Linked DNA regions of Ovis aries. Each later gene encodes a partner of the first gene's protein in a complex. Links are inferred from orthologs where the notes say so. Each region holds a gene or a part of one and is shown on either strand. Other genes may lie near its edges.

Region 1 (16,904 bases):
CGATACAATTTTATATACATAAATGAACCTAAACTCATACATTAGTTTCCCCTCAGAAGGAGGTCTTTAGCAGCAGTATGACTTTGAATATGTCAGTGGTTCTTCTCTGTTCAATATTCTTTATCATTCACTTAGATAAAACATATTGCAGTTTGTGAAGAAAAAACTATGGTAAATGGCAGAAGCATGCTGGACTAATGGGATGGTGCCATTACCATTCACTTAGGCATAAATTTTTAAAAAATAAGAGAATGTAATGAGGCTTGTCAGTAGCATATGCAAAAAAAAGGCTTACATTTTAATGAGCAGTAGTTATATGATTCAACAGTGGCATATATCTACAGAAAATCTCATGAACACTTTTTGATATCCAATATAAAATATCCAAACAAAACCTTTCTATTTTTTATTCACCTGTCTTCCAGATTATTAATCTTGTCTTTCACTGTCTCCCACCTGGGATAGTGGGAGACAGCGAACACTTGATAGTTTAACACTATCCCTCAAGTTCTTAATTTCTGATCAGCATTGGAATGTCCATTTCATTATTATTTTGTAATTTTGATTTTATTGAAAAATTCTCTATATTTTTATATACATCCTGTGATATTTCCTATATTTTCTTAAATACATAAATCATGATTGTTTTAAAGTCCTTATTGTCTAATTAACCAACTATTAATATCTGCTTTTTTCCTTTTTGCATGTAGAGACAATGTTCTGTCTCCTCGCATGCCAGGTACTTTTTTTTAGTTGAAAGTCAAGCATTGCGTTTTCAAAAAACAAAGGTATACAAATCTCCAGATGATATACTTTCATTAGAGAGGTTAGCCTCTCCTCTGCTAGGCAGACACAGCAGAGGAAGTAGAGGGGCTGACTACTTTAAGCTTTTATTGAGAATCTGTCAGAGCCTATCTCTGCTCTACTTTTCAGAGGTCTTCAGCTTGGATATGTAGTGACACACCCTGTGAAGCTTCTGAGTTTGGTAAATTGAGGAAGAGAGACTGGCTATTGTTAAGTCTATTCAAGTCATTAATTTTATCACTCTATGCCTAAACAGGTTCCTCCTTTGTTGTTTCATCTGTCTTCCATCTTCTAGGGGCTGAGACAGGATCCTCACTCAGCTCCAGTTCAGTCTGCACTATCAAGCACCCCCAGAGACAAAGCAGTTACTGAGGATTATTTAAAAGTCAATTCCCCTTTCCTTTGAGGACTTTGAGCTGTCCCCTGTCCTCCTAGTAGATCATGAAAATGTAGGCTATTCCACTTTTCTGTGTTTGGGCTTATAGCTATAGCCTGCTATCCTGTGAAATTTTGAAACTTAGCTGATATCTTGAGGAGTAAAATAAATCTGAGGTCCTGCTCCTCTCCAGTTTTATTATCCCAGTCTGGTGCAACTGCCAAAACTATTGTTGTTCTTTTGTCCCCCAGCCTCAGTGCTCTTCCTGACTTAGCCTGGATTGTCAGCTTCATCTGCATCTAGAAATGAAAAATAACCTCCAGGGATAGCTTCAGATTCTTAGCTCACATTTGAAAAATCATATTTCTTGAAAGGTACTCCCTCTAGCCCTTATTGTTTGGCTGATCCTTGATGCCGTTAATATACTTTTTTTGTAATTGATTCAACTTTTCTAATTGTTCTCAATGGGAACATTGCATGCTGTCGCTCAGTCATGTCCATGGCTTGTGACCCTTATGGACTGTAGCCAGCCAGGCTTCTCTGTCCATGGGATTTTCCAGGCAAGAGTACAGGAGTGGGTTGCCATTTCCTTCTCCAGGGGATCTTCTCAATGTCCACTCAGCTATCATTCAATCTCACAAAAGTGTTTTGCAAAAGAGCAGAGAAAAGAGATGAGATGCCATATACAGAAGCATTTATGCTATCGCATCAGGAGAAAAAGGAGTCAGAGGACTACCATATTACGGTATGGAGGTCGAAGAGAAAACCCAAAAGGGTACATAGACAAAGGAGCTTTAAAAATGCAGGAGACAAAACCAACTGAGGATCCATCAGAGTTTCTAGAAAGAATTTATCAAACTTTTAGGTTCAGCTCAGCTTAGTTCAGTTCATTTCAGTCACTCAGTCGTGTCCAACTCTTTGTGACCCCATGCACAGCAGCATGCTGGGCTTCCCTGTCCACCACCAACTCCCGGAGCTTACTCAGACTCATGGCCATTGAGTTGGTGATTTCATCCAAAATCTCTTCCTCTGTCATCCCCTTCTCCTCCTGCCCTCAGTCTTTCCCAGCATCAGGGTATTTTCCAATGGGCCAGTTCTTCACATCAAGTGGCCTAAGTATTGGAGCTTCAGTTTCAGCATCAGTCCTTCCAATGAATGTTCAGGACTGATTTCCTTTAGGATGGACTGGTTGGATCTCCTTGAAGCCCAAGGGACTCTCAAGAGTCTTCTCCAGCACCACAGTTCAAAAGTCTCAATTCTTTGGCCCTCAGCTTTCTTTATGGTCCTACTCTCACAACCATATGGAAAAACCATAGCTTTGACTACACTGACCTTTGGTGGCAAAGTAATGTCTCTGCTTTTTAATATGCTGTCTAGGGTGATCATAACTTTTCTTCCAAGGGGTAAACATCTTTTAATTTCATGGCTGCAGTCACCATCTGTAGTGATTTTGGAACCCAAGAAAATAAAGTCTGTCACTGTTTCCACTGTTTTCCCATCTATTTGTCATGAAGTGATGGGACCAGATGCCATGATCTTAGTCTTTCGAATGTTGAGTTTTAAGCCAACTTTTTCACTCTCCTCTTTCACTTTCATCAAGAGGCTCCTCAGTTCCTCTTTGCTTTCTGCCAGAAGTGTAGTGTCATCTGCATATCTGAGGTTATTTATATTTCTCCTGGTAGTCTTGATTTCAGCTTGTGCTTCATCCAGCCCAGCATTTCATGATATACTCTGCATCTAAGCTAAATAAACAAGGTGACAATATACAGCCTTGATGTACTCCTTTCCCAACTTGGAACCAGTCTATTGTTTCATGTCCAGTTCTAACTGTTGCTTCTTGACCTGCATACAGATTTCTCAGAAGGCAGGTAAGGTGGTCTGGTATTCCCATCTCTTGAAGAATTTTCCACAGTTCACTGTGATCCACAACATGATTATAGGTGCTACATGCAAACAGACCTGGAGGTCCCTGAGAATGTAACGATGATAAATATGACCCTCATCAGGCAAAGTGCCCCAGATATTTTAAAAATGTAGAAGTCATATTGTGTATTTGAAACGAATCCTTCTCAACTAGTAAGTGTTGTTTCGAAAGTATTCAATAACAGGGAACAATGGCAGAAGCAAGGAGATGCAAAACCAAACTCAGCTTTTCTGGTAGCCACACTGAAAGCAAGTAACCTAAAGGGAGGCTTCCCAGATGGGTCAGTGGTGAAGAACCCACCTGCTAATGCAGAAGATGCGGGTTTGATCTCTGGGTCAGGAAGATCCCCGGGAGGAGGAAATGACAACCCATTCCAGTATTCTTGCCTGGAGAATCCCATGGACAGAGGAGCCTAGAGGGCTACCGTGCTTTGGATCGCAAAACAGTCAGACATGACTTAGCAATTAACAACAACAAACACTAGAAAATATGAAAAAATAATTTTATTTATGTATTTAAATCAAATATATTTATTTCCTGAAAGGGCCAAAAGCTGGAAGTTTGAAGAAATATTATCTTGAATTAAACTTACAGAAACAAGTGAAGAAATTTATCACTACAGTGGAATGAGAAAGCAGGCAGTTTTGAGTAAGAAGAGAAAGTACAAAGCTACAAGTCCTGTCTTTGAATAACTGACAATATTTTGAAATACTAAAACCATGATAGCATCATTAGGTTCTATATTCAAATACAAAAGTAAAGATTATTATACTTACCTTGTAGGTCAATCTCCTCATGACTAAAATCAAACTGTTGTGATGATAGATCTAGTGCTATTTTCTTAACCATATAGCAGGATAAAGTCATAATAATAATAATGATAATTTTCAAATAAACATTTTTCCTAGATTTAGACTTTCACGCATATTATATACTGTTGTCGTTTAGTTGCTAAGTTGTGTGAAACTGTTTTGCGACGCTGTGGACTGTAGCCCACCAGGCTCCTCTAGCCATGGGATTTTCTAGACAAGAATACTGGATGGGTTGTAATTTCCTATTCCAGGGGATCTTCCCAACCCAGGGATTGAACCCACATGTCTTGCATTGTTAGGCAAATTCTTTATCACTTAGCCATTAAGGAAGCTCCTGAGTATTGCACACACACACACACACACACACACAGAGTCATTTAATCTTCACAACCATCATTTAAAGTAGGTAAACTGAGTTCCATTTAGTTATAGAGAAGTAAAGTGAAATATAAACAATGTATGAAATTTGTCAGGTCACAGAGTGTAGTTGGTATCAAAGCTATGTTAAAATCCTGTGCTCTAAATCAGCATAGAATTGTCTGCAATAATAGGAATGTGCTATCACTGCAATGTCTAACACATAGCCACCAGCCACATGTAGAAATTAAGTGCTTGAAATGTGTCTAGTGCAAGTGATGAAATAAACTTTCAATTTTATGTCATTTAAATCAAGTAAACTTTTGCTAGCAAATTTGGAGAACTCAGCAGTGGCCACAGGACTGGAAAAGGTCAGTTTTCATTCCAATCCCAAAGAAAGGCAATGCCAAAGAATGCCCAAACTACCGCACAATTGCACTCATCTCACATGCTAGCAAAGTAATGCTCAAAATTCTCCAAGCCAGACTTCAGCAATACGTGAACCGTGAACTTCCAAATGTTCAAGCTGGTTTTAGAAAAGCAGAGGAACCAGAGATCAAATTGCCAACATCCGCTGGATCATCGAAAAAGCAAGAGAGTTCCAGATAAACATTTATTTCGTCTTTATTGACTATGCCAAAGCCTTTGACTGTGTGGATCACAACAAACTGGAAAATTCTGAAAGAGATGGGAATACCAGACAACCTGACCTGCTTCTTGAGAAATCTGTATGCAGGTCAGGAAGCAAGAGTTAGAACTGGACATGGAACAACAGACTGGTTCCAAATAGGAAAAGGAGTATATTAAGGCTGTACATTGTCACCCTGCTTATTTAACTTATATGCAGAGTACATCATGAGAAACGCTGGACTGGAAGCAACACAAGCTGGAATCAAGATTGCTGGGAGAAATATCAATAACCTCAGATATGCAGATGACACCACCCTTATGGCAGAAAGTGAAGAAGAACTAAAGAGCCTTTTGATGAAAGTGAAAGAGGAGAGTGAAAAACTTGGCTTAAAGTTCAGCATTCATAAAACTATATCATGGCATCCAGTCCCACCACCTGATGGCAAATAGATGGGGAAACAGTGGCTGACTTTATTTTTGGGGGCTCCAGAATCACTGCTGATGGTGACTGCAGCCATGAAATTAAAAGACACTTACTCCTTGGAAGAAAAGTTATGACCAACCTAGACAACATTACTTTGCCAACAAAGGTCTGTCTAGTCAAGGCTATGGTTTTTCCAGTAATCATTAATGGATGTGAGAGTTGGACTGTAAAGAAAGCTGAGCACCAAAGAATTGATACTTTTGAACTGTGGTGTTGGAGAAGACTCCTGAGAGTCCCTTAGACTGAAAGGAGATCCCACCAGTCCATCCTAAAGGTATTCAGTCCTGAGTGTTCAGTGGAGGGACTGATATTGAAGCTGAAATTCCAATACTTTGGCCATCTGATGCAAAGAGCTGACTCATTTGAAAAGACCCTGATGTTGGGAAAGATTGAGGGTAGGCAGAGAAGTGGGTAACAAATGATGAGATGGCTGGATGGTATCTCTGACTCAATGGATATGAGTTTGGGTGGACTCCGGGGGTTGGTGAAACTTTGAATGATCACATGTGTCTAGTAGCTCCCACACTGGACAGCACAGCTCTAAAATAATTAAGTTGTATTGGCTTCTGGCCCTGAAAAATCTGTGGGTGTACAAGAACACTGTCTCAGAAGCTTTTTCTTAGAGTTAATCAGTTGGAATATCACTCCTTGACCTATTTTTAATAGAAAGTACATGTATATGGAATATTGTATATGGGAAAGTGTAATGTATATACTAGTCTTTATTAGTAAACAATATGAATAGCTTACTTGTAAGCATTTGTATGAAATAAACAATATGTAAGTCAAGTGATTTCTTTAAGTCAAAGTGTGATTTTTCTCTTTATTTGGGCTTCCTGTGAGGCCGTTAGTGTACACAGTAAACCTATCAGAAGCAAGTAATAGAAGAGAGGAAAGATAGAGGATGCTGCCTGTTTTATGTTTACTTAGAAGGTATTAGATGTTGGCATTATGGAGCTCAACTGCAATTCTAGGCGAGTTCTACTTCCTTCCGGGTCAGGTCTCCAGGTTGTGCTGAGTAAGGAGAGTGGTAGCAAAGGACACCTGATATGATTCTCTCAGGAGCATGTGAGGTGACTCCTTTCCCTGGCCTGCTGTTCCTTCTGGCAAGTGCCCTTTATTCTCTCTAGAATGCCTTATCACTCCTTCCTCTCTCACTTTCTTTAAACAAGAGAACACTTTCTTACTTACAAATATACCACAGCGGTGTTTTGCTTTGTATGTGAAGCCTCAAAACACAAACCAATATTTTCAATACCTAAGAGCTGTTTGTAAATAAAAACAGGGTTTCTGCTTCCTGAAAACCCAAATTCCATCATAATAAATTAGAACATTTTCTCTATGCTTTATTTTCTTTATGCTTTATATTCTTGACTCTTAAAATGTTGAAATTATTAAAACAAATGAAACTAATTCAAGGACTGTCAGTCCTTTCCCTCATCGGTGCTAGTTATTTTTTAGGCTTTGTTCGGAAGTGGAGAGTTGGCTTGATGGTCCTGGCTGCAGAAGGAGGTTTGATTGACTGCACATGTGTTAATACCATGCATACATTACTGAGGAACTACGAGGCAGAGTGCCCTCAGAGACACACTTCTGGAAAGAGTGGTTGACTCAGGCCCCACCTATACAGAGCTCAGTTCCTAAAAATAGGTGCTAAGTTACATCCTTAGACGCAGGGCTAAAATAAATTCAGCCGTCCCATCTACTTGCTTGATAGACCCTTCAGTGGAGCTGGCCTCCACTCCACCGATTGCTTTCAGGGGACTGGGAAATTTGCTGTACAAAGGAGGAAACTAGTCTGTGAAGAACTGTAAAGATATATGATATTTCCACGAACTTGGGGTTAAGTCTAAATATTGCAGAAGGTATGTGTTACGTTGTCATTGATAAATGTCTACTTCCATAGCTATAATATGTTCTTACTGATTGCTTAAGATCAGGGAAGACCACAGGTCTAACTGAACTTGTTAGCAGAGGAAATATTCAGTCAGATTTTGTTCTTATGACAATATTTAGCATTACTTCAGATTATTACATTTAGGGCTTCATCTATTAATCTCTTTACAGATTAATAGTTAGTCCTTTTTTATTTTTAGTATTAAAGAATAATGAGCCAAATTTGATAAACAGACATGAGTGGAAGTTATACTTCAGTTTTTAGCTAAAAGAGAAAACTGAAAAAATTAGTTCATCTTTTATGAGCATAAATTGATCATCTATACAATAAATATGTTTAAAACTCTAAACTATATTTCTTAAAATTTGCTGAGGGAAAAAGAGAACTTAAAATATTCTCAACTGTTGCAGCTTACTCAGAGAAATCTATGAAATGTATTCTTTATGCAGCCTTAGTTTGATTTTGTACTTCTTGCCCCAACCACAGTCTCATCTCCTCTGGGAGTATTACTGGAGTAAGGATTAAAGAATCAGGTTCTTACATGTTTTCCAGAATTAAGAAAAGCGCAGCCAGTCGGATCTGCCAGCCCTAATTATAGTAACTACAAACTTAAAGAGAGAAGACAGATTTTACTTTAAAAGTAGCATGCCCTGTATACTGTTTCAAATGAATTTTTTCTGTCTTCAGTTGCCTGTGAACACCTTAATTTGGTCCTGTTGTGCCTTAAATGTTTAGAATGTTAGAGACTAAAGTGATTTGGAAGAGACATTATAACAGATTCTCTTAAATTAAGACACCAACTAAAAGCAAGGACACTTTAAGATTACATAATACAGGGTTTAAATTTAGCCAGCTGGTGCTGAACTGAAAGATATTTTATTTTTATCAGAGCTCTATTTGGTCACTGACAAGTTGGTGGTTGTTTGAATCATTTTAAAATTTTATGTACAGAGTGCCAAAGGACAAGTAAAATATTTACCTCAGCTACCTTCAGAGCCATGAATTTTAATATGAAAGAGCACCTGTTTTGAGTTTTAGAAGCTATTACCATTGAGTTTTAGAAGCAAAAATACCGGATCAAAAATGGGAAAGTCTTGAATTCTATGCTTAAGTATTTCTCTACTTCTCTGCCTAATCTTTGATTCTTTTACCTTTTTTATTGTTAATATATAAACAAACAACTAGACCTATTTTTTTAAGTCAATCAGCAGTTCAAATGTCTACAATATGGCAAAGTGCCAGCTGTTTGGGGAAAATGTAGTCTGGAGTTTGGCATGAATGTTTCTGCATGAAGTACTGGGCATCTTTGATACAACTGCCTGTAACCACCTGAAAAATTAAAAGAGGCACTGTTTAATGATCACAGAGAGCATCACTTTAGAAAATGTCAGGTGGGCCTCAAGTCTTCAGCAATTAAAGAGGGAGACAGGGTTGGTTCTCTTTCTTCAAGTTGACTTTTGGGTAAAAACACCACAAAGTTCATGTATAATTTATTGTTGTTTACCATGGATAGCTGTCTGCTAGTCAAGAATTTTGCCTCTCACATTTACCACAATTGAAAAGCTTCTGCACATCAGTATTCTTTTTTTATTTGTCTGGTAAAATATTACTTACGATGAGACAATTTGGGGTTGGACTCCTGTGATAACCTTGAAACAGGGAATTGACACTCAGTTCTTCTCTCACTTTCTCTCCGTCTCTCTCCTCTCTTTCTTCTTCATGCCTATACACAATTCTGGGCAGTAAGAGACCATTTTGTAACACTTATTTGTTAGCTCAAAGTCATGTCTAGATTCAGTAATTTATAGACCAGGGCAGCAACTTAATAAGTGCCTGGCAGTATAATTTCAAGACTTCTGATTGAACAGTCTGTGGGGAACAGTACTTAATTGACAATACGTTGTCCTTTTTGTTTGTTTTCCACCTCCTTTTTTAAAAGCATTTGAGTTACACTTTGAAATTTAATTAAATTGTAATTTGTTTTTTCCTGCTTCTGAAACAACCACTTGCTCATTCAAATTACAGTTTCATCCTTTGCAGAGTGTGGTTAACTTCAGACTTTTCTGATTCAGGAATAAACTATTTTAGAACACTGATTTATTCAATCTTTTTTTAAGATTTTTTTTAAACATGGGCCATTTTTTAAAGTCCTTATTGAATTTGTTATAATATTGCTTCTGTTTTATATTTTGTGTTTTTTGGCTGTGAGACATGTAGGATCTTAACTCCCAACCAGGTATCAAACCCACACCCCCTGCACTGGGCCACCAGGCAATCCCCCTAGGTAAATGGTCTTCATGTGACTGTGTAAGATATGATATTGTTGGTTTTCCTCCCTTATATCAAATGACTGATGTTTTCTAACACCAACCAGTTCTCCAATTCTCTGATAGCAACTGGGTATACAACAATTCACTTCAGTACTCATACTAACTTCCAGAGTTAGAGCAGAACAGACAGGTTGTGCCCACTTTAGCCTTGAATTTGGGTTACAACTCAAGAACAGTCAAATGGAAGAGATTTATAGAGTAATGTGTGTGTGTGGAGATGGTGCACAGAACTTCCATGCCCTCTCTGGGCTCACCATCAATCAACATGTTCACCAGCCTGGAAGCTCACTAAATGCTGTTATTTAGAATTGAGATTTCTTTATGTGGGGAAATTGGCTGAATCATGGCCATTGGTAATAGGATTCAGTGCCTAATCCCTCTCCCTCTTTAAGTAGAAAGTAGAGTTGAATATTCCAACTCTTTAATTACTCAGTTGGTTTTTCTGAATGCAAACCCTGTCCTGAAACTATCTATATTTCCCCCCACAGCCAACAGGAAGCCAGGAGTTACCTCATTAGCTCACATACCAAAGTGAAGTAGCTCAGTCGTGTCCGACTCTTTGCGACCCCATGAACTGTAGCCTGTCAGGTTCCTCCGTCTATGGGATTTTCTAGGCAAGAGTGCTGGAGTGGATTGCCATTTCCTTTTCCAGGGGATCTTCCTGACCCAGGAATTGAACCCAGGTCTCCCACATTGCAGGCAGACGCTTTACCATCTGAGCCACCAGGGAAGCCCTGCTCACATACCAAAGACACCATCAAATTCCAAGAGTTTTAGGAGCTCTACGCCAGGAATCAGGGAAACAGGCCAAATATATTTTTTTTAATTATTTCACATATGTCCCACAATATTACTACTCTGTGAAATGCTACCTATGAACTCCAGAGTGAAATATTCATAGTATTTATTTTCCTAATCATTGAAATCTCTTTTTTTGCAAATTTAACCTGAGTATTTTTCTATTTGTACATTATAGTCAAGAAAAGCACAAAGAACAGTGACAATCAGACAATGCAAAGAACAGATATTTTGCTTTCTTAAAAGAGTTGAGAGTCAGCAAATTCAGTGAGTTATTTGTGTCAGTTGGATACAACAAATGACAGCATGGCTATATTTAATGACCCCTGGGACTCCATGGGCCTAAATGGTGGCGCAAAAATAATCTGGCACTGAGCAGTGCAATAGGTAATCCAAATTCCTGGTAGAGTGGCTGTAGTTCTTAAAATGTCACAAAGAATAAAAGGAATTTGTCACATAGATAACACAAAGAACCCCACTGACTTTTTGACTTAGCACTTTTAAGTTCTGGATAAGAAAACTGAGGCACAGAACATTAATTAGTAACTTACAAGATTTAGGCAGAGAGAAGTAGAAACCTACTCTCTTGACTGTACTTTATTCTGCAGAGCTTCATGAAACCATCACTCCATCCTCACTCCACCCCCACAACTTGGAATACATTTCAAAGTACAACTTGATAAAGTCTTTTTGTCCCAGGTTATTATTTTTCTTTTTATTTTTCATTTCATATTTCTCTCAAATTTAGGGTAAATTATGGAAAAGCAGACCTGATCCACATATTTATTGACAACTTAATAAATGGCGCTTGGTTTATTTTTTAACTTTACTGTCATCTAAGTTTGCTTGTCATCTGTGCTGGATGAACTCTTCCCCTCTTCCCCAGCACTTCCAGCCCATGTCCCCTGCCCTCCACCATCAGCCCATCATTGGACACATCATTTTGCACTGTTGTTTTTGGCAGACCTTCAAGTAGGCTTGTGTCTTCTACATTTCTCTAATTGTATGCAGGATATATCCTGTTGCCTGGTGAGCTGAACACTTTAGATATGTCTGGCTGTTCAAAAATAAATAATTGCCAAATTGCTCCAGGCATACATATGACTTAAAATGAATATAATACTAAAATAATTTCTTTTAGGAAATTTTTGTTTGTCAAGGACCCAATTCCACCCAAATCTGAATATATCAGCATCTGTGTTTCTAAATGCATTTACTTGGTAGTCAGCAACATAGAAAAGCTAAAAGAAAAAAAAAAATCATGTCACCGTTAATTTTAGAAGCTAAGTCCAGTGTTATAAATGGTTTCAAAACATGTCAATGCTTTTCATGTTAACTTTCACAAACAGGAACTATACATATAAAATAATGTTCAGATAATAATTACGTTATTTTCTTACTTAATTCATAAGAAGTTAGTTGCACTGAAGTAAGATGTAGGTGGATCACTTTATTAAGTGGTGGGTTTTTTTAAAAGCTATATATATGAAGTTTTGATGAGTAGAGTCACATTTCCCCACTGGATTGCATTAAAATCCACAGGTGCTTTATCACTACCTCTGTTGTTGTTGACTGTTTTCAGTCCATGCAGTCATAATAAGAATTCAGCTTTATCTTATCTAACCACTAAGCCTTTTTGTCAAGTAATTAGACTTCAGAAGTAACTACAGTAAATAAGTGTTCCAAAGAAACAGGGAGAAATCTTTTTGCAAAGCTAAGGATCAGCTTTTAATTTATTTGTTGTATAAGTTAGAGTTTTTTATTGTCAACACAAGCACCTTATTATCAAGTTGGAAAATCCTAGAAAGAGATAAAAATAAAATGAGTTCATTCACATTATTTAAGGGTGGTCAATTCCAGCTCCAAACTTTGATTTACTGCCTCTGCTTCTGTTGGATCCTGAGCTAGACTCCTGAGTATTGCATAGGATGAAAGTCTGCTGTGGCAACTGGGGTGCAGCCCAGCCCAGGTTCCAGTTGGAACACAGGGGCTAGAGCTAGAGGTGCCAAAGGAAGAGCAGTGGATGGCGATCAGCCGCTTGGTCGTTCCCTCTGTCCTCTGTGCCACCCCAGACTGCTCAGAGCAAGAACAGAACCCTGTTTTACAGCCCTGACTTCTGCAGTGGAAACTGTGCTAGCCCTCAGGATCTCAGAGGACGCAAAAGTGCTTATTTTGAGGAATATAACTGTATTATGCATGTGTGCTTCAGTCACTGACTTGTTCTGGAATGGGAATGATTTCAGGATTCATCATCCAGATAATTTCATTATCCAGAATTGGGCAACAACCACAAGTTTAACTCTATAAAGTATCAGAGAAATGAAATTTGAAAGGCAGCCATGTGTTTGTATTTAAGTTGCAATCTTTTTTTTTTTTCTGTAAAGATCTAGTTCAGTTATTTCAATTGTTGGCTCAAAACTACAATTTATAGTTTCTAATAGTTCACCCTTTAACTAGAAGCAACAAATTACCTCAAATTTCAATTTTCACTGCTTTTCTTTTAATTCATCATTTCAACCCAACTGGTCCCAGCTTCTCTACTATGTCATTTTGTTATACGGTTACCATCTCTTTTAATTTGTGTTCCATTATGATCATGTATATACACGTATGTGTATATATATGTATGTGTATGTATCTGTATGGGCCTCCCCAGGGGCTTAGTGGTAAAGAACCCACCTGCTGGTGTAAGTTTGATCCCTGAGTCATGAATATCCCCCGGATGAGGAAATGGCAACCCACTCCAGAATTCTTGCCTGGAAAGCCCCATGGACAGAGAAGCCTGGTGGGCTATGGCCCATGAGGTTGCAAAGAGTCAGACATGATTGAGCAACTGAGCACGTGTATATGTATACATTATTATACACAAGGCACAGTGTTACCCATGTCTCCATATTGCTTTCCCTTTAGTTTATGTTCTCAAAGTCCATTTAGATGTTAAAAAAAAAAAGAGTAGTCTTCAAACAATAACCAATAACCACAATATCATCTATAGTGACACTTTACCTTTCATGTAACATTGCTTTAAAAACTGCTGTTTTGTAAACATTTGTACTGATAAAGTACAAAGCTATATTTTTATAAAAACTATAACAATAATAAACCTTTTCTATAAGATTATTCTCCCATAGATAGCTGTATGGAGTTGATATATAAAATTTCATTATTTATAATCATCTTTGTATTTTGAAATTAGAAATTTTTTTGAAAATTTTCCAAAATTAGAAAGATTTCACAAATGATGTGCATTGTTCTCTCTCTCTCCCTTTCTCCTTCCTTCTTTTTTATTTCATTTCTCTTAAAGACCTGTGGAATATATTACTTAACCCTAGCTCTATCACTATCCTTAAGATTTGTGGAGTGTCCTCAGTTTACCAAAATCACAAGAACATCACCTTCTAGAGCCAGAAGAGATCTCAAAGGAAACCCACATAATACTTTACTAGGAAACCAGAAAATGCTGTGTCACATAAACTCTAACTAGTTGAGTACAGACTTTGAAACAAGACAGTATGGGTTTGAATTCTGGCTCTTAAACCTAACCAACTGATTGATCCTGGGTAAATTACTTAAATCCATCTCTGTGCCTATTTCCTCATCTGAAAATGGAGATACTAATAGAGTCTATCTCATAGATTACTGTTTTGAGGATTAAATAAATTCATATTTGTAAAATGTCTAAAACAGTAGTGCCTGGTATACAGTAAATGCTACATGAGTTTTGGCTATTATTATCATCATTATTATTACTGTCTAATATATGGGGTTAATATAATAACATTTATGTCTTTCCCAGAGAACAACTTAAGAATTTAAAGTACCAAGTTATCCTAGATGCTGCAAATTCAAAATAACACCATACTAAATAAAAACGTTTTTAAGAGAGAAAATTATCTACCCATTTTAATAGGTTGTTCTCTTGTTAAAGGCATCCTTCCTTTTCAAAGGTGCACTCTTGAGCTCAAATTAAATTTCTGTCCTCTTTGGAGTTGTAGAAAGCTATTAAATATCATTTTTCTATTATAATCATTCCAACACTTGAAACTAATAACTTTTTGGTTATCTTCAGTGATGTCAGTATCACATTACTTCAAGAAACTGAGCTCTTCAACCACTTCAACCATAATGCGTCTGTCTCCTTTCTGATGGAGCTGCTCATAGCCACACATTGGACCCCCTCATTACTTTGACTTAGTTCTTAACTCTCAAAATACTCTTAGATCACAGTCTTTTTTCTTTTAGCTGCAACTAACCTTGACCCACAGCATAGTGTTCCCATCCTCAACACATCCTGCCCATCAGCCCCTCTGCTCTTTTGCCTCATCTCTCTGCATTTTGAATCCACTCAGTGTCTGAGTAAAGATGGAGGGAGAACTCTTACTTGGGAGGAAAGCATTGAAAGATGCAGCTGTGGGCACCTGTTCATCAGTAGAATCTAAAGCAGAAAAGGCCAAGAGGAATCCAATAATGGAAGAGGAAGCAAAACTTTATGAGCCAGTAAAATGGTACAAATGTATCAGATTTGATGGATGAAGCTAAGCTATAAAAAGAAAAATAAATCACAAGGTCAGAAATAAGGAAAACTAAGAACAAGACAGGATGGAACCTAGGATGGATTAGGGCACACATTTCAACTGAGGCCAAGAACAGTTCAGCAGTGTTGGTGGCCTGGTGTTAAGCACTCCTGACTCCATGCTTCAGGCATGGGTCTAAAGCTTAAAGGACCCATGCCAGACCCAGCGCCCACTCAGCCTGGGCCCATTGTCAGCTGCAAGATTAGAGGTTCCATTGATCTCCCATTTCATTTGTCCCCACATTCTTGAGCTAAATATACCTTATCAAAAGCCAGTTCAACATTTTCCTCATCATCTGATATATTTGCCCCCATTCCCAGGTTGTGTGTGTGTGTGTGTATATATATATATACATATATATATATATATTTTTAAAGGTTTGTGGTTTTGCATATATGTTAATACCCAACAATCATTTTATCCACTTTTAGTTGACTTCATGTCACATTCACCACTATTCCTGACAATCCCAGATGTTCTCCATTGTAATATACAACTGGAAAATTTGAAAATGAAAAGACGTTTGTGAGTAATATTCTTTTTAAAAGTCACATTGAATTTTCAAAAGTATGGCAAGGTTAAGTCTGAAATAGTTACTAGAGATATACATTGATATAATATGGATGAAACTGAGAACTAATAGAATGTGTGTGGTAAGACAAAAACAGAAGACTGGGGATGGAACCCTGAAAAATGTATGTGATTGGGTGCCAAGAATTGTGTGTGTGTGTGTGTGTGTGTGTGTGTGTGTTTCAGGAGACTGGTCATGATAGATGAGTATTTCTTCTGTCTGGCCTAAGCTACTCACCAACTCCACACTCAGTTTTAAGATTTTATAAAGCACACTGCAGAGAGTGCTGCAAAGCATCATTTTAAATTCCTTCTCCTGAGATACTTCCTGCAACAGCAAATGTTAGGCTCAGAGAGTTTCATGATGTTTTCCTCAGGTCCTGCATGGCTGGTGAATGGGGCCTGGGGATTTCTGCCCCATATGTTTTCCTTGGCAGGCTTCCAACCCAGAGCTGCACTGGGAGAGTCTGAAAACCTCCTGAGGTCTTCCTCTTCGATCTCATAAAGCAAACAGGATACTACTTGTGATTAAATAGTCCCCTAAAGAAAAGTGTGTGTGTGTGTGTGTGTGTGTGTGTGTGTGTGTGTGTGTGTGTATTAGCACTTACATGTTCTATCTGTAGTCTTGTACTTATCCACTGGAATGAGGAAGCTAGTTATTTTCTTCTGGACCGAACTGTGATGGAGATATGAATATGTCTGAAATTTTTTAGCTATAACACTTCTCTGCAGATATGTAATAACAAGAGAATTTCTGACAGAAATTAAACTGGGCAGAAAGCCCAAAGTTGACTTGTTTCATTTTCCAAACACACGATTTTATGCAGTTTTAATTTTCACCTGCTCATGTGGTGTCTTGCTGAGCATTTTGGGAGATGAGCTGGATTTCATTGTGGGAGACTCACAGGTTCACAGGCAAGAAGTTTATTTTTCCTCCTTCCTGGAAGCTCTAATCCCAAATTTCACATCACTGCTCTGCTTAAATAACTTCTGTTACAGAATTTGGAACTTGTTTTCTACTCTTTAAAAAGAACTACAAGAGAAAAATTAAAATCTGTCAACAGGAACCCTAAAAAGATGTGCACTGAATTTTGCAGTATTGTTGCAAGGCAAATTCATTCAATAAATGCTTACTGGGCAAGTAATAATGTTATATGTTAAATACCTGTGAAGCTGGCCATATTCATCTCAACTGTCAATTGCTTCTTGGCAATCTAGGAATTTTAGTTCCTGGTAATAATAAAAATTGCATATAACCTGTTCTTCCAAAAACAAAAAATTTTTAGCAGCGGCTCTGGCACTCATTATTAGGAAAAGCACAAGAACATCATTCTTACAAATGAACTGT
Region 2 (16,774 bases), on another chromosome or scaffold:
TAATTTTCATATACACCAAAAAATTTTATAGCTATAGCTCACAATTTAGAGAATATAGCTTTATCTAATATGACTTTATTAATTTTTACTTTTACTGTATGTCAAAGGGAAGAAATAAAATTATTTGCATCTGTTAAAGGGTTTTCTTAAGGAAAGGTGAAACCATGATTCTCATAAAACATAAAATGAACACATTTCAAAGATTTTAACTCATTAATTGAGGACACCAGAAAGATATTACAGTAGGTTAAAAGGTGAATTTGAAGAACCAAACATAAATGAGTAATGGGGAATGATGAATTGAATTTACAGATAGCTATAAAAGGATCTATCAAGAAGCCAATAATCAATTACCCTTCCCCAGGACACAATTCATTTGCATTTGTATGGCTAAAACATCATTAGCATTGTTATCAGTTTTCAATAATTTATGGTGTGGGTAAGTAGTTTAAAAATAGTGAAAGGCCAGATTAACCAGAAGGTAATGCTAGATAAGACAAGATGTAATTTTTTTTCCCCCACCAATTTCAGAGTCTTTCACCGTTTTCCCCTGACACCTCTCACACAAAACTCTAGGAAAGGCATACTTTTTCAGAAGAGTCAAGATGGTTTTTTTTCGTGCTTGACACTTTGGTTCTGATGACAAGCTACACAGAAGCCATTCAAACCTTGGGCTTCTCTTGGTGGAAAGGATTTCAGAAGTGCTTATGGTTTTGGCTTTGTTGTTATTAAATTGGAACAAATAACTCAAGTAAGTAGCAAACTGAACCAAAGTCTTCTTTCAGTTCACTGGGTACTTATGTTAATGGAGACTCTGAATAAGAGAACTCTTTTTTTTCCCCTCTTGTCAATATACTTAGAAGAATAGATATTATAATTTTGGCATCCCAGCCATCCCCAACCTGCAAATTGTTGTGCCAAAGATTATTTGTGGTTTCTTGTTCGTCTCTTCCTCCAACACAAGTGTAGATGTGTGGCTTTCATTTGTGAGTAGGATCTATATTTGTAAAAATAGGAAGTTCAATACAGAAAAACTATTAAATCTTTCTTTTAAATTAAATCTAATTTTAGCAGAGTTCCCTGTGGTATCCAGTAGGTCCTTGTTGGTTATCTATTTTAAACATAGAAGTGTGCACATGTCGATCTCAATTATGCGGCAGCGTGGATAGGACGTGGCCAAGTCGCTCTGCTGTGCACCTGAAACCGTCACAGCGTTGTTTATCAGCTGTGTTACTGTTGTTGCTGTTTAGTTGCTAAGTCATGTCCGACTCTTTGTGACCCCATGGACTGTAGCCCACCAGGCTCCTCTGTCCGTGGGTTTTCCAGGCAGAATGCTGGGGTGGATTGTCATTTCCTCCTCTAAGGCATCTTCCCAATTCAGGGATTGAACATGCGTCTCCTGCATTGGCAGAAGGATTCTTTATCACTGAGCCACCAGAGAAGCCCCATTAATCAGTTATACTCCAATATAAAATAAAGGTTTTTTAAAAATCTTATTTTAATGGCAAAATTGGTAATGGTGACAATTATTCAGTTGCTTCGCATCCTTTAGATTTCTCATTAACAAACAGTAATGAAATAGCCATTAAAAAGGAGAGGATAGACTTAATGAGTGTTAACTGTAAAAACAGATTGGGCTAATAATAAGCAGGACTCTTCTCTTTTATAAAGAAGACGAATTGCCCTAGAGAGCTTATATTTCTTGTTTTAAGAAATGATTTCTCCCCCTCATCTCTTAGTAAAGTTCTCTTTTAGATAGATGCCAAATGGTGAAGAAACACATAAGGCAAAAGTAAAATAATCAGGGATTCAACTGAGAAGCAAGAACCTTCTGGGGATAGTCATTTAAAAAAAAAAAAAAAAAGCAAAATGAGTACTTGAAAAGACTGCCAAGGCAGGCAGGCTTCTCTCTCATTTACCATGTAGGTGGAATATGTTATAATAAGATATGTTGAATTATTAATTTTTAAACTGGAAATATTCAGTTTATCTCTAAATATCCCTCAACACAGAGCTGAATCTCAATCTATTTCAGTTGTTTATTATGGAATTTCATTTGCAAGTCACTCATCACCATGTTAGGGAAGAACCACATGTTCCATCACTGCAGAGAACAGAAAGGAAAAAAAAGTGAAATAAATATGAAACACTTCTCAAAATTCAAGAGATTCTTATTGTATGTGACCTTAAAGAACAAGAAGACAGACACTGCCTGACTCGTGATGATGGTGTAGACTTGCTTCCTTGGTCAGGGTCTGTGTCTCCAGAGACCTGAATTACCCCTGGGACCTGTCAGTTGTTATAGAAATAGATTTGCTTATACATAAACGTCAAACCATAAAAATATGGAAGACTTCTGTACTACAAATACACAAGTTAGCTCTTGTCTTTGGGTTGTTATGCTGCATGAAGACTTCCTGGGCTTTAAAAACATATTGAAGGTTTAGAATTTACTCTTTCAAATGAGATGATCTTTCGATATCAAGTTCTTTCCCTGGAACTGTGTACCTTTATTTGATAGTTGAAAACTCTTATGTTTGTAAGGGGCTTTCCTATTTTTAGGTACTTTCCTTTTATTAACTTTGGGCAATTCAGTTTTTCTGCTTGATAATGGAGACTTTGAGCCAGAGAGGGATTAAATAATTTTCCCTAGAGGGTGTGGGAGAGCTGGACCTGGACCTCAGGGGGTGTTTGCAGTAGATAATATGATCCCACCCTTGGTATCACCCTCAATCAGGGAGTGGGTAGAGTAGGAAAGTAAAAGGTAGATGACAGAAATGAAATGTTCGGTAAGTAAAAGGGCTTAACAGCTATACAGATATTCCCTTTTGGCTCAGCCTAAGGTGAAAATATGTATTAAAATATAGCATTTAACATGGTTTAAAAAAAAAAAAAGAAAATTGGGGAATTTTGAAACATGATAGCTATCCATGAAGAATACTTCCTTCATATCCCCAAAGTCCCATTTTGAAGCTATTAAGAGACCTTTACTGTGATGAAGTTCAGGGCTTAAAATGTTTAACAGAAATTTTTACATGAATTCTATATTATACCTACAGGTAAATGGAAAAAAATGCATTCAGTCAAAAGTAGTAATGTATCTAGCTTGCCAAACATTCCATTAAGGAGTACCTACAGCAAGTCTTAAATGATTTTTTAAAAAAATTTCCCACCTCATTTTAGCACAAATTAAATTTTACTCACCATTACACATCTAACATCAAATTCAGTGCCTGGAATAACCACATTTCTTTGAATGAATGAACATAGGGCTCTAGTTAAATTTTGGTCCTAATGCTCCACTAGATAACTTTGTGAATAAGACAAATAATTTCTGTTGATATCAATTTTGTTCTGTATGAAAGAAAGGGCTTTAGCAGGATAGACTTCTTAAGGATGCCTATAGTTTTAAAATTCTGGTTTTAAAACCTTACATGGAAAATTTGTGTTCACGTTGTATATGGCATTTGTTTTTGATTTCCAAACTTTTGTGCATAATCTCAACAGATTATTTTCTTCCAGCACAGTGGAGAGACAATAAGAATTTGTTGTATGATGGAAAATGAGAAAATAGCAGCCACTGAAGTCTGACCAAGGTAACTCACCATAGAGAGGAGGTGTCACCATGAGCTTTGCAAGTACTGTCACCTCAAACACTAGCCAGGCAATGCATCTTAGACAGCTTTGGCAAGATTTTCTTCCTATGCTTCTAGAAGTTTGCAAGATTCCTATTTCCAAATAAAGATAGTGTAATATAGTTTCTATAGAATACTGGAATAGTCTTTTGGCAGGGGCTTGAGGGAAACAAGTAGAGTCCACACATTCTTCTCTTTTATGAAACAAATATGACATACAGAGAATTTCCTCATAGAATTCTCTACGCTGGCATGACATGGCTATGATTTTATCTTTATTTATTTGTTTATATTTTCTTGACCATGCCATACAACAGTTGGGATCTTAGTTCCCTAACCAGGGATTGAACCCTCACCCCTTACATTGGAAGCATGGAGTCTTAACCGCTGGACCACCAGGGAAGTCCCCATTACTATGATTATAAAGTTAAAGTTTCCAGTTTCAGAACCCTTGGGGCATTTCTTTTTGTCATTTTGCCGGTACGCAGGTTATATAATGCCACTAAGTTCACATTAAAAGTCACTTCATAAAATGATCAACTCTTAATAGAACACAACCATTTTTTTTCAGAATAAAACAATGTTTCCCTAAGTAATATTTCACAGAAGAATGTTAGTTTTCTGCAATATCAAATGTCAATAAAAGAACAGATAGGTAGGTAGGTAGGTATGTAAGTAGGTAGTAGATAGATTAGATTAGATGAATAGGCTTTCGTTTTGGGGAATTGCTGGGTTAAGCAAACTTAAATAGTTTTCTTGGTTATGGGTCTTCTAAGGTGTGGTGTGGGAGCTTCTAAAGTGTCATTATGCCTTGTGGATCTATAAGTGGCAGGGGTATAGATTAGTATACAGGTTTCCCCAGACATGTTTGTTAAAGAAACCCCCTTTTCCCCTTCAGAGTATTCTGCAGAATTTTAGCCTCATACAACACAATTTGACATCTGTACATGATGATTGTATAGAATTTTTTTCTTTTCAGAATTTTTAGGCAAGGCCAAGGCAATTTACAAAATTTAAAACGAAATATGATACTAACACAACATTGTAAAGCAATTATACTCCAAAAACAGAAAAAAAAACCCCAACAACTAGATATGCTATTAAGAAAAAAACATTATTATACTTTTCTGCTTGGAATGTATTTTTTGATTAAAGTTATGTTTTATATCATTTGTTTCATTATTCACCATAAGGTACTTTTATTATGTCCCACACTGATATGCTATGGCTTTATAAACATTAATTTATCCTAGGATTTAAAAAAACAAATTGATAAATTGAGCTGTATAGTCTTAGAACTACCCCAGTTGACATTAAAGGATTTGTTTTGAGAAATACATTTTAAATTATATAACTGGTGATACATACTGCATTGTAAATATTGTTATAGTTTATTCTTCTAAATCTTTCCAAGCATGTATTACACATTGAGAAATATACAGATATCTAGTGAAATCTGTAAAAATTGACCCTATAGGCAGAATTGAAAGAGGGTACTTATTATTTTTTGAAATAATGATGTTTCTAGAATTCTTAAATAATATATCAGCCTATGTTAACTATAGCTTCTCATGTTTAATGATGTTTACAATTAAAATAATACAATAGCAATGTATGATTAACAACCATAATTAACTCAGAATAGATTCTTCGAAGTGGTTCAAAGGGCTTTCCATGATAAATTACTAGCCTTTAATCAGCTAATATAAAGTACTTTTTTAGACTGAAAAAGTATATATATGTCTCATAAAAATTTTAATTTAACTTAATGAAATGAGTTTAATGATCCAGCTTCACCATACCAGCTCTGGGGTATGTCTGACATTCCAGTGAAAGCTTTATTTAGATGGAGTTGAGGAATCTTTGAGATAGTAGGCTTTCCACTGTGTTATCTTGAGTGTTATAGCTGAGTGGTTTTCCCAGAATCTCTAAGTCTTGTTCAAACTATTTTATGAATGAATTGAATTCATTAAATGTTAATAAACTTGTCTCAGTTTAAAGAATGTTGACTTGAAAAGTTCACAAAATTGAATTTTGCTTATTAAAATATTCTTTCCTCTTATGAGGCTAGTCCTTGCCAGCCTCAGTGATCTGGTTCTATCCACTCACACGCAGCTGTGATAAGGAGGGTGAAGAGTGAGCTAAATAGGGAGGAGGCCTGGGCAAGGTCATTTTTGCCAGAACACAGAGATGCCAAGATCTCAAGGGTGCTGCAGGATATAAAAAGGTGCTGCACTTGTGAATTTTATATATATATAAAGAGTAAAAATGAGGGTTCCTGTATTTGAGGATGTGAAAGATGAAACTGAAGAAGGAAAAACAGGGGAAGAAGAAAATGAAGAAGACAAGGTGGGTGAGAAGGCGCTTGCTGAGGCGTGGTGTTCATTCCTTAAAATTGATGATGAGGAAAATGTTTCCTTTCCTTTTTCCCTGGACAGGTATTCTTTAAGCCTGTTATTGAAGACCTGAGTATGGAGTTGGCCAGAAGGTGCACTGAACTCATTAGTGATGTAAGTGGCTTAAAAATTTTTATCTGTTTTGCCTTGCGTATGTGGCATGATTATATCATAGAATCAGAGAGCTGAAGAGAAAACCCTGAAATCATTTATTTAAAACCCAGTGATTTTCCCAATCATGGAACGAAGTCCAGAAATGTTAGATGGTTTTCCCAAGGTCACCTAGACAGAGAATTTCTGTGGGGACATGTCTCCATGTTCTTAAGCCAGAATCTTGTCCCTTCTTGAACTTCACTGTCACTCTGGCATGAAATCATAAAGCATCAAATTTCTGAGCATATTCCACTGAGAATACAAAGCTTTTTACTATTTGTGTAATGAGGTAATTTGTTTTGAGAGGATCTCTATCTAAATGAATGGTTTTTAGCATTTTGAGTAGCTTTTATGGAATCTGATGAATCCAGTAGTTTTCCAGACCAGAAACATGAATGTTTCTATGTGCATCTAACATTTATTAGCAATTTAGGATTCACAGTTTACTGAACTGCATATTGAGAACTCTGAACTGGATGTGGATGATACTATTAGTGAAAGGAGCATTGTTGTTGTGACTTTTTTTGTTAACTGGGATCAGTTTATGTTGTATATCGAGGGAATCCTAGAATTACAGAATTAATTGGGTTTCCCTGGTGGCTCAGATGGTAAAGCGTCTGCCTGCAGTGCGGGAGACCCGGGTTCCATCCCTGGGTTGGGAAGATCCCCTGGAGAAGGAAATGGCAACCCACTCCAGTACATTAATTAATATGGGTTATCTCTGGGAGATAGTGGAGGACAGAGGAGGCTGGTGTGCTGCAGTCTATTGGGTCACAAAAAGTCAGACACAATTTGGTGACTGAACAACAACAATCTATATATTTCTGTCTATCTGTTTCTCTATAGTAAATATGTAAACTAGGATGGCAGAAGCAAGGGAAATGTGTTCTTCTCGTGGGATGAGAATTTAGATGGTCCTCACTAGAACAGTTAGAAGAGAATTGCTGGTACACAGGGAAGATGGCTCATGAAGCGTGAGCAGGTGCCTGTCTTATCTAGAAAGGGGAGCAGAGAACTGCTTGTTTCTGCTGTTGTTCTTAAGCAAGATGATCAGAATAGTTTATAGACTTTTATTTGCAGAGGAAATCAGTCCTGGGCCATATAGTCAGTGTTCTCTGAAATCAGCCTGCCTGAGTAGTTTAACAGTAACCCTGGGCAGGCTGGCAGGACACAGTTCCTCAAGGGAAGCATTTAAAATACTAAGATTAAGAAATAATAACACATTTGAAGTGTTTAGTAAATTGTCTGAAACATTGTGAGCAACAAGATGCTAGCTGTTATTAACAGTTGTCTCCATAAATTAATTTTGTATCCATCCAATCACATTTTATATATGATTCTGTGCTCCCTTCTGGTTTGTTAGAAGAGCCAGGATGGTGGAAATCAGACTCCTTCCTGTATCCTTGACATGTACTGTAATTACATTTTAAATTGAGTGTTTCTCTGTGCCATTTCTTAATATTTGTCACAAGCTACTATATGTAAAAGTTCTTTGTAAGCTATAATAATAATGAGATGATAACAGCAACAACAGTGATAGTAAAAGCAGCAACAGCTAAGATTTATTGAGGACTAAGTGCCAGGTAATGCAGCTTGTGAGGCAGGCTCTCTTGTGTTCCTGTTTTAGAGGTGAAGGACAAGAAGGCTCCGTCTGAGAGGTTAAGTAATTTTCTTGGATCACACAGTTAAGTAGTGGGGAGTAGGACTTGAACATGAAGCCCTGTCTCTTGGCCAGTCTGCTATGTTATCTGTCCTATAGCTTTCATGCAGAGTTTACCTTCGATTTATTATTGTGTATTACACAAATATTAGTAATGTGACCATTTAAAACTTCAAGTCCTGTAGCTCTGGAGATAGTACCTCTTTCAGTGTTGTTTTGTTTGAGGTGTATTTGTGGCCGAGTCAAGTTATATAAACTATTAAAGTGACAACTTTAGTTAGTAAGTGATAAGAACATTTCTCAGTGACTTCAAAACCAATCTTATAGTGAGGGGCGATGGCCTTTACTGTTTTGACAAAGCAAAAGCCATGTTATTTCTCTCTCATGTAGGTAAAGTCAAATATGTGAGAGTAATTTCTGTTTATTATAGGTTTATATTGCATAGCCTGTTCTACTTAAATATTTAGATCATATTACTGTGGCCTAGTTTATATCTGTGTACATGTTTGCATTTTGTTTCCAAAGAGAATTTCATACTTATTAAAATACTGGTTCAATTTTTGAAATTTTTGTATTTACCAATGAACAGTCTGAACAATTACTTTCTTTGTTTCTTAAAAAAAAAAGAATGAAGAGTTTGTACAGTCATTTTTAAATCAGATTTTAATTTACCCTTTCTGGAAGAGTTTCAGGGATTGGACTGAATCAAATTTCTGTTGTTTTTAGAAATGTAATTAAATAGTATTATTAAGTAATAATTTGTTCATTCACACTTGGTGTCATCAGTGTTTTTATATGGAGCAGATTAACTTAAATTTGAAATTCTTCTCTTTGTTGTGTTGTCTGCATGACTAGATGGTGGTCTAAAATGTATATTTGAAATTGCATCAATACGGAGATAAAAGCAAATATAGAAAGGACAAATTGAGTTAGATTGGAGCTCCAGTCAAGTCTTTATTACGTCTCTGATAGTGTCCATCTGTTCGTGCTCACATTTAATTTAGTCCACCAGTCTTTGCCCCAGTCTCAATCTTAAAGACAAACCTTCAAGGACTTTAGTTTTGTTTTATAATCCTTTATATCCCAAGGGGGAAATCTACGTGTTTACCTGAGCCTTTTTGTTTGTTTGAAGGCAGTCTGTTTGCAGCTTGTCACCAGGTGAGTTTGGGTTTCTGCTTGCCTGCTTTGTAGAGCCCTACGTCTTGGAGCTTTAAGACGCTGGCTCACGTTTTCTGATTTATATTTGTTTAGCTGCGTCACGTCTTTGTTGCAGCGTGTGGTATTTTTCACTGCAGCACATGGACTCTCTGGTTGCAGCCCGCAGTCTTAGCTTCTCCATAGCATGTGGGGTCTTAGTTCCCTGTCCAGGGATTGAACCTGCATCCCTTGCATTGCGAGGCTGATTCTTAACCCCTGGACCACGAGGGAAGTCCCAGGCTCACATTTTCTTGATCAAATCACACAGCTAGTGAGACACTGACCTGGGATTTGGAACAAGGTCTGTCTGACTCCCCAGCTATGGCCACCACGATGTCCTTTCTCTGCTGTTGTGTGCCAGGCACTCCACATGCAATACCGTATTTCATGCCACAGTGAGCTAGTGCCATAGGCCCCGTGAGCCCGAGTTCAGAGGTGGTGAAACCCGGCAGTGAGTAGCTTGTCCATGGCCACCTGACTAGTCAGGGATGGGGATAAGAATCAGGTTTAGATCTGGCCAAGTCCAGTGCCTGGCTGGTAGCCCCTCATGACTCTGCCCCATTTTCCGGATGAGAAGGTTGGTTTCATGGATTTCTCTTCATGGCACAGTCTCTCTGCATCCCCTTCATTATCATTCTGATCATTCCTCTCTGGACCTCTTTGAGGTTTCATGTGTCTTTATCAGGATATAATAACGAGAACTGTGCGCAGAGGTCCAGATGTGGATGGCTGTGATTATGAGTAGGGAAGCATGCTGTTTCCTGCCTGTTTTGTGATGATATTTACAGTTTCTTGGACTAAGGGGGAGGGGGGGGGTTGCTGCAGAAAGCCGTTAGCTCAGCCTCAGTAAGGACAGCATCCTCAGCCATTTCTAGTCCTAATTTCTGACTTGTAGCTGATCATGTAGGGCCCCTCCTCTTTTAATAGTCCGAGTGATTCTCCCTTGCTAGGGATGATCTAATCTGTGGTGGCCCATCCTCTTGCACAGCCCTTTGAGAGCTTCCGCAGTTCGTCTCTTGCAGTTTACCATCTCCCTCTCCATAAGAGTGTGGGCTCATCAGCAGACCTGCAGACTTGGCTGCATCATGCCCCTGCCAGATAATTCATTAAGAATGGCCTAGTGATAAGTCCTGGAAGGCTTGTACTGTTTAGAATTCTCCATAGAAAGAAATGTCTGTTTTTCAGATCAGATGGCTTCATTTTGGGGATCAGGATAAGGCATTAGAAAAAAATTTTTTTTTTTTTTTTTTGCCTTGCCTAGTTTCTGCTTTGCACATGCTCTGCCCATACTGTGGGGTTTTCCCTCTGCATAGCTCACTTCCCAATCTTGAAAGACACCTGGTTCTCTGAGACAGCCTTTTAAATTTTCTCTTAGCCATGTAATGCTTTTTATTTTCCCAGATATCCTCTCTTTGGTATTTTGTCCTGTTACTCAGCTATCTAATCAATTCCTTGAATAAATCAAACCCACTGACTACACTGAGCAGTCAGCATCATGGATCTGGGAGCCTTTTGTAGGGTGGTCATAAAAAATAGTAGGTTTAAAGGGACCCTTTGTATGTTTCTTGTAAATTAGGATAAAGAGTCTCTGCAGAGCAAGTGAGCCCGCATCTGCCAGAAGCCTCTGACTCAGTGTTTTGATTCAAACCTTTTTAGGGTGTTCATTTGTGTGGCAGCAGGAAGAACATTTTCCAGGCAAGTGAACATTGTTTATTGTGGGTAACCCTTCCCGATGCTGAAAACATGGGATTCCATGGTTACCCCTCCAGAGAAAGCTCCAATGGTGTTCAGTAACCTGGGAGAGCAGCCTTGGCTCTGAGCGCCTCAGTTAACACACAGTGCTGGAGCCGCAGTTCTGTCTTCCAGGGTTCATTGCACTTAGCCAATGTGGTTCTATTTGTGAAAAGACTTCCTAACTCCTTCTGGTTAAGAATGCTTGTAAAAGGAAATACCCTCTAACATTTCTACATCTGTCTTCCGCTTTTGGCCATTAGCTGGTCTCATACTAAAGTGAAAGAAACTAGACTAAGAAGAGGAAGCACACTCAACTAATTTAAGTTGAACTGTAGTTGAGACATGTTGGGATTAATGGGTGAGGTCAGCAGAAAGTAAATTATTTAGGGCATCTTCTTAACATTAAGTCATCAACTTTGGATTGTGTGTTGGTTGTGAGTGCAGATGGCTGCACAGAACCTGGAGATCCTAGCACAGGGGCTTAGCAGATAGCTGACTATTTTTTTGAGATGAATCCTGGATGGAGGGGCTGCGGCCTTGATGTTATCAGTCTCTCAGGCTCCTTTCCTTCTGCTCTGCCATCATTATGGTGGTTTATTGTCTTGTGATGGCCTGGTTCCTGCTGTTTTCCTGTGGTTGGGGAAGACAAAAGGTGGATGGGCGAGGTGTCAATGGACTGTGTCAGCAAGTCTCTCCCCTTGTATTTGCTTCACCAGTAATAATGCTGGGGAGACTTCCAAAATATCTCATGGCCAGAGCTGGGCACCTGTCCTCCCCGACCGATCGCTGGCCAAAGGGAATGAGAAAGCCATGCCTGTCTCAGAGCAATTTGTCCTTTGCGGCTACGGTAGGGGTGTATCTCCTCCTGTAAATACACTTGAGTTCTACTGTTAGGAAAGAAAGGGATTGGAGAGACAATCTATCCAATAGATGGGGCATCTGTTAGATTTGGAATTGACTGTCTACTCAGTGATTTTCATTTTACCTAAGTTTTAGTATTAATCATCGACGTAGTTCCCTTTCATCTATTTTTTCCAATTCTCCTAGTATACGGAAGCTACTAATTCGTGGTATTCTTTATATAAAAATTTAAGATCATATGCTTACTGTCTCTCATATTGTAAAATTCACTAGAAATGTAATATGCGTGACAATAAACATCTAGTAGGTGTATGTGTGTGTGTGTTTATCTTTTAAATAAAGACCAAAGAAAGGAATGGAGAGCACACTTAAAACTGAACTATTTGCCTGCATAGCAGAGGAAATAAATACTTCACCTTTATCCCTAGCTCCTGTCCTGAACATTCTGCTCAAGTCAGAGCTTATCAGAGGCTGTAGCCACAGCACATACCGCTGCTGTGAAGAATGTGAATGGGAGAGGGAAGAGATGGTGGCGAAAGATAAAAATAATGAGCCAAACTTAAGCCTAATGATAGCTTATTTTCTCTCATGCTTAATTATATAACGGAGATACTTTTTTTCCTCCTTATGATCAAAATAGCCTACTATTTATCATAGTGCCATTAACGGTTTAATTACTAGTGACTGAGGACGGTGATTTGCAGAGACCTAAAATTATGGCTAATCTCTGAGAAGAAAAAAAAAAGCAATTTAGTGCTCAGATAAGATAAATATGTTCTAATGTTGATTTCATGAATAAAGCAAATGTTTAATGTGGTCAGCATCTATTATCTGAGTCATCGCCGTGAAATATGGCATTTAAAATAATGTTACTCAGTATGTTTGTGGCTGGTTATACCTCAGGTCAAATAATGCCCCTTAGGTCTGTTCAAATATGGTAAAATCTCTATGTCATGTTAAAGTGTAACATCAACATTAGTCATGTTCTTTAAGAACCAGGTAGTGTATACCGTTAAACTTCACTTTTAGGCTGTAATTAGGGAGGCCATGTAATTTATCATCTGAACTATGACATTTTTTTCAGTCTAAGTATTTACAGTCTTGGGCAGATAAACATGACTTTATTACAGGGTGATACAACTTTCAGCAAATTACCTTCATCCTCTCAAACAGTTATAAGTTTTGCCTGCCCAGTTTTCGGAGAAGGCAATAGCAGCCCACTCCAGTACTCTTGCCTGGAAAATCCCATGGACAGAGGAGCCTGGTAGGCTGCAGTCCATGGGGTCACTAGGAGTTGGACACGACGGAGCAACTTCACTTTCACTTTTCACTTTCACGCACTGGAGAAGGAAATGGCAACCCACTCCAGTGTTCTTGCCTGGAGAATCCCAGGGATGGGGGAGCCTGGTGGGCTGCCGTCTATGGGGTCGCGCAGAGTTGAACACAACTGAAGGGACTTAGCAGCAGCAGCAGTCCAGTTTTCAGATTGGATGGCAATTAGTGTGACAGCGGGATTACATTTCAGGTCCCTCTCTATAGTTCCTGACTTCTTTTTGACTTATCTGCCCATGCGGGATCTTCTCACAGAATAATCCTGCCTCTCCTGAGAGGAGAAAGAGTGATTCCTCTCACTAGTGAATTGGAAAGAGGAAATGAGGATTGCTCAGCTAAGCCTTTCTGGACTTTTTCCCATTTGTCTGCCTGCCACCACACGGGGGCATTCTGCAGTGATTTCCACAGGTGACAGGCTGTCTGGGTGGGTTCTATGTTTGGGAGAGGGGAGGAGGTTGGGGAGGCCTATGGGTTCTCATAAATTGGATATTCAACCTTGATTTGAGCATAATTAATTAGTAACCAGAATCCCACTGTGGCCACAATTGATGCCCCCTCCTCTAATCCAGCATGTCTAGGTAATGATGCTAACAGTAATCTCCATTTGTTTAATTTTGTCCTCTTCTTAATTGGTCACATCTGTCCTGATGACTCCTAACTTTAAATCCAGAGGTAGGCAACTGTGTTTCTGTTTGACCATAGGCTTACCTGTTAGGGTCTGTGGCTTAAAGTAACAATAAATTAGGACAATTGTATGAGTGAAATGGAGCATTTTTTTTTTTTTTAAGATGTGAGTTAAAGTTTGTGTGTGTGGTATGACATAGCTACACCGAAAATGTGTAAATTGGATATACCTATTTTATATACACCTGCTATGCTTATTCCCTCAAACTTGTGTGTTAGTTCTCAGTATTCAAGTTATTTTGAGAAAGGCCATGCTTCGCACAGAACCAGGTTTATTTACTGAGAAATTTTAGCATGGTTTGAAGAAATCAAGTGGTAAAGGGGTGTGCTGAGTATGCATGCCATGCTTTGTTGTTGTTGTTTAGTTGCTAAGTTGTGTCCAGCTCTTTACAGCTCTGTGGACTGTAGCCCGCCAGGCTCCTTTGTCCATGGGATTTCCCACTGGATTGGGGAAATCTGGAGAAGGAAGTGGCTACCCACTCCAATATTCTTACCTTACCGCTGAGCCACCTGGGAAGCCTATGCAATGCTTCTTTTTAAAATAAAGAAAAAAATTATTTTAAAATTAATTTTTGTTGATGTATAGTTGCTTTATAATGTTGTGTTAGTCTCTACTGTACAGCAGAATGAATCAGCTGTATGTATACATATGGCCCCTCTTTTTTGGATTTCCTTCCCATTTAGGCTCCCACAGGCACTGAGCAGAGTTTTCTGTGTTATACAGTAGATTCTCATGAGTTCACTATTTTAGACATGGTACCAGTGTTTCTTAATTATGCTGAAGAAGCTGGACAAATAGGACCCACAGTCAGTGTGGGTGTGACACGCAAGATCCTTGATGGTAACTGTGCCCTTGCTTATCTAAAGGGCAGCCTTTTTCTTACCCTGCCTCATCCCCTTTGTTGTTCTGAGCTGGATATCAGTTTATTTGATTTGGCTTGTTTTGAGTATCATTCCACATTGGAGTATTTATTTCAGAAAATAGACTTGCGCAGTTAATTCTTCTGTTCAAAAAGGAAGCATTAAAGTTGTTTTTTTTCTCTTATGTAAAATGTTCTCTCTTTTAGATCCATTATAAAGAAGAGTATAAAAAGTCTAAAGGCAAGTGTACGTTTGTGACTGACACGCCTATGCTAAACCATGTAAAACACATTGGTGCTTTTATTTCTGAGGTAAGGTATCAAGACTTTTTAAATGGCTTGGATTATTTTCTATTTATATAGATATAAGTTTCTGTATTAAAATTAGAGAATAACGTTTCTGATAATACCACTGAATGTTGATATTAAAAATATCTGTATATGTAATTCTATGTATTATGTCAGTTAACTTAGTAAACTGATAGCTTATTATCCATTGTTGATATGTTTTGTGATATATATCTATATTGACTCTAACCTTTTTTTTTTTTTACATCAAACTAAAAGGAGATATTTTTATTCAATAGAAAGTACTGGCAAAATAGTCTCAGAAGTTCCATTATTTTATTTCTTAACAGACTTATTAGATATAAATGATCCAATCTCATTTTAAAAATAAGTCAAACTTATCAGCAGATTCGATAAAACGTGGTATCTTTGGTAAGTAACTTCAGATCAATTTGAACTATTTTTGGTTAGGATCAGTTCAACAGAGATACCTGCTATGAAACCATAGAGTAAGAAATGCGCTACATTCATTTTCCAGCTGAAAAATCATGTAATCTTTTTCTGAGCGAATGTAGAACTGCAGCTTATGTTGTCTTATAGAGCACAATGTTAACAGTGATTTCTGTGATGAGGCAATGCCAGTGTCTGTGAATGGATCATTTTGAAGAGATAAACTCGACAAGAAGATGATTAGATAGTGTTGTAGATGACTGACCTCTAGTGTTTCGTAAGTTATTGGAAAAAAGATCAACATGATATTCTTGGGATTATTTCTGCCAACATGAAAGCATTTAAGAAAACTAGTAAATTTTAAGTATGAAAATCTGAAGAGTTATGGGAACACAAGGCTTACACAAGCTATATGCTCAATGAATCAACACTCAAATCTGGCTCCAAGTAGGAGTAACATCAGGGACTTGTGGATAGAGTGGGGAAAGCCACAGTTTTGTTTACTTGTGTAAGCTATTAAATATTATTTCTCCTTCACAGAGAAATGCTTGGTGTTCTTAATTATTAATTGAGTCTTTTTCCTGAAGGAGTTAACTACAGAGGAAAAATTAAAAAAGGAAGAGGGCAATCTGCTACATTCCTTTGAACCTAATCTTCCCAAGAGGAAATAGTGAATGAGTCTCTCTCTTTATGAGTAATGACTGAGATCATTTAGAGGCAGTGCAGACTGTATGTGGGAAAGTGCAAAAACAGCAAAAAAGCTCCGCCACCTCAGCACCCTGCCATTGTGGTGGAAGAAGTTAAGAAGACTTGAATAAAGGAAGGCTGTCCTTTGTGTTCAGGTTCTAATGACTTGTGTTTTCTGGAACAGCTCAAGTATCTCATTCTCATTTATTTTTTGATGATCAAATATATGAAATTGTTGATACACAAGTAGAATTACTGTTAGAAATGTGCATGGGTTTAAGTAGAAAAATAGCCATTATTTAATTAGATTGATTTAATTAAAATTTTCATTTGAGCTATAATTGACATGGAATATTAGTTTCAGGACTCCATATTTGTATGCACTGTGAGAGGACCACCACAATAAGTCTGTCATCGTATGGAGTCACACATCTTACTTCTTTTCTTTCCCTTATGATGGTTACTTTTTGAGATTTTCTCTCTTGGTGACTTTCAAATATGTGATACAGTTTTATTAACTACAGCCACCATGCTCGATTTTATGTCCCCATGTACTGATTTTATGACTGGAAGCTTGTGCCTTTTAACCGCTTTGCACCATTTCTCCCATCCCTCAACCCCTCTCTTCCAGTTTTTATTTTCTTGCATGTTTGATTTAAAGGTTTTGCCATGATAAATTGGATTTATTTCTTCAAATATGACCATCGGGTTCAGTATCTGAGATTAAAGTTGACTTTACCTATTTAAAAATATTTTAGTGGAGGATAGTTGCTTTACAGTATTGTGTTATTTTCTGCCATAACACAAAATGAATCAGCTATTTGTATACATATATCC

What was found.
Region 2: the proteins of XIRP2 (region 1) and NEBL are in contact, whole or in part, in a crystal structure (PDB 4F14), measured with the Homo sapiens proteins. The link is inferred for Ovis aries from reciprocal best matches to the Homo sapiens genes XIRP2 and NEBL. Residues at the interface, in NP_689594.4 of Homo sapiens: Pro2420, Pro2421, Pro2422, Thr2423, Leu2424, Pro2425, Lys2426, Pro2427; in NP_006384.1 of Homo sapiens: Tyr963, Asp964, Tyr965, Asp969, Asp971, Glu972, Ile987, Asp988, Asp989, Gly990, Trp991, Met1004, Pro1006, Asn1008, Tyr1009.

Annotation. Positions count from the first base shown.
Region 1 is NC_056055.1:142,302,954-142,319,857, reverse strand, and holds the start of XIRP2 (xin actin-binding repeat-containing protein 2), read left to right. Parts: upstream 1-7,099; 5' UTR 7,100-7,252; intron 7,253-16,904.
Region 2 is NC_056066.1:21,590,919-21,607,692, reverse strand, and holds the start of NEBL (nebulette), read left to right. Parts: upstream 1-5,821; 5' UTR 5,822-5,903; coding exon 5,904-5,984; intron 5,985-6,073; coding exon 6,074-6,145; intron 6,146-14,719; coding exon 14,720-14,824; intron 14,825-16,774. UniProt on the Homo sapiens protein: Binds to actin and plays an important role in the assembly of the Z-disk. May functionally link sarcomeric actin to the desmin intermediate filaments in the heart muscle sarcomeres.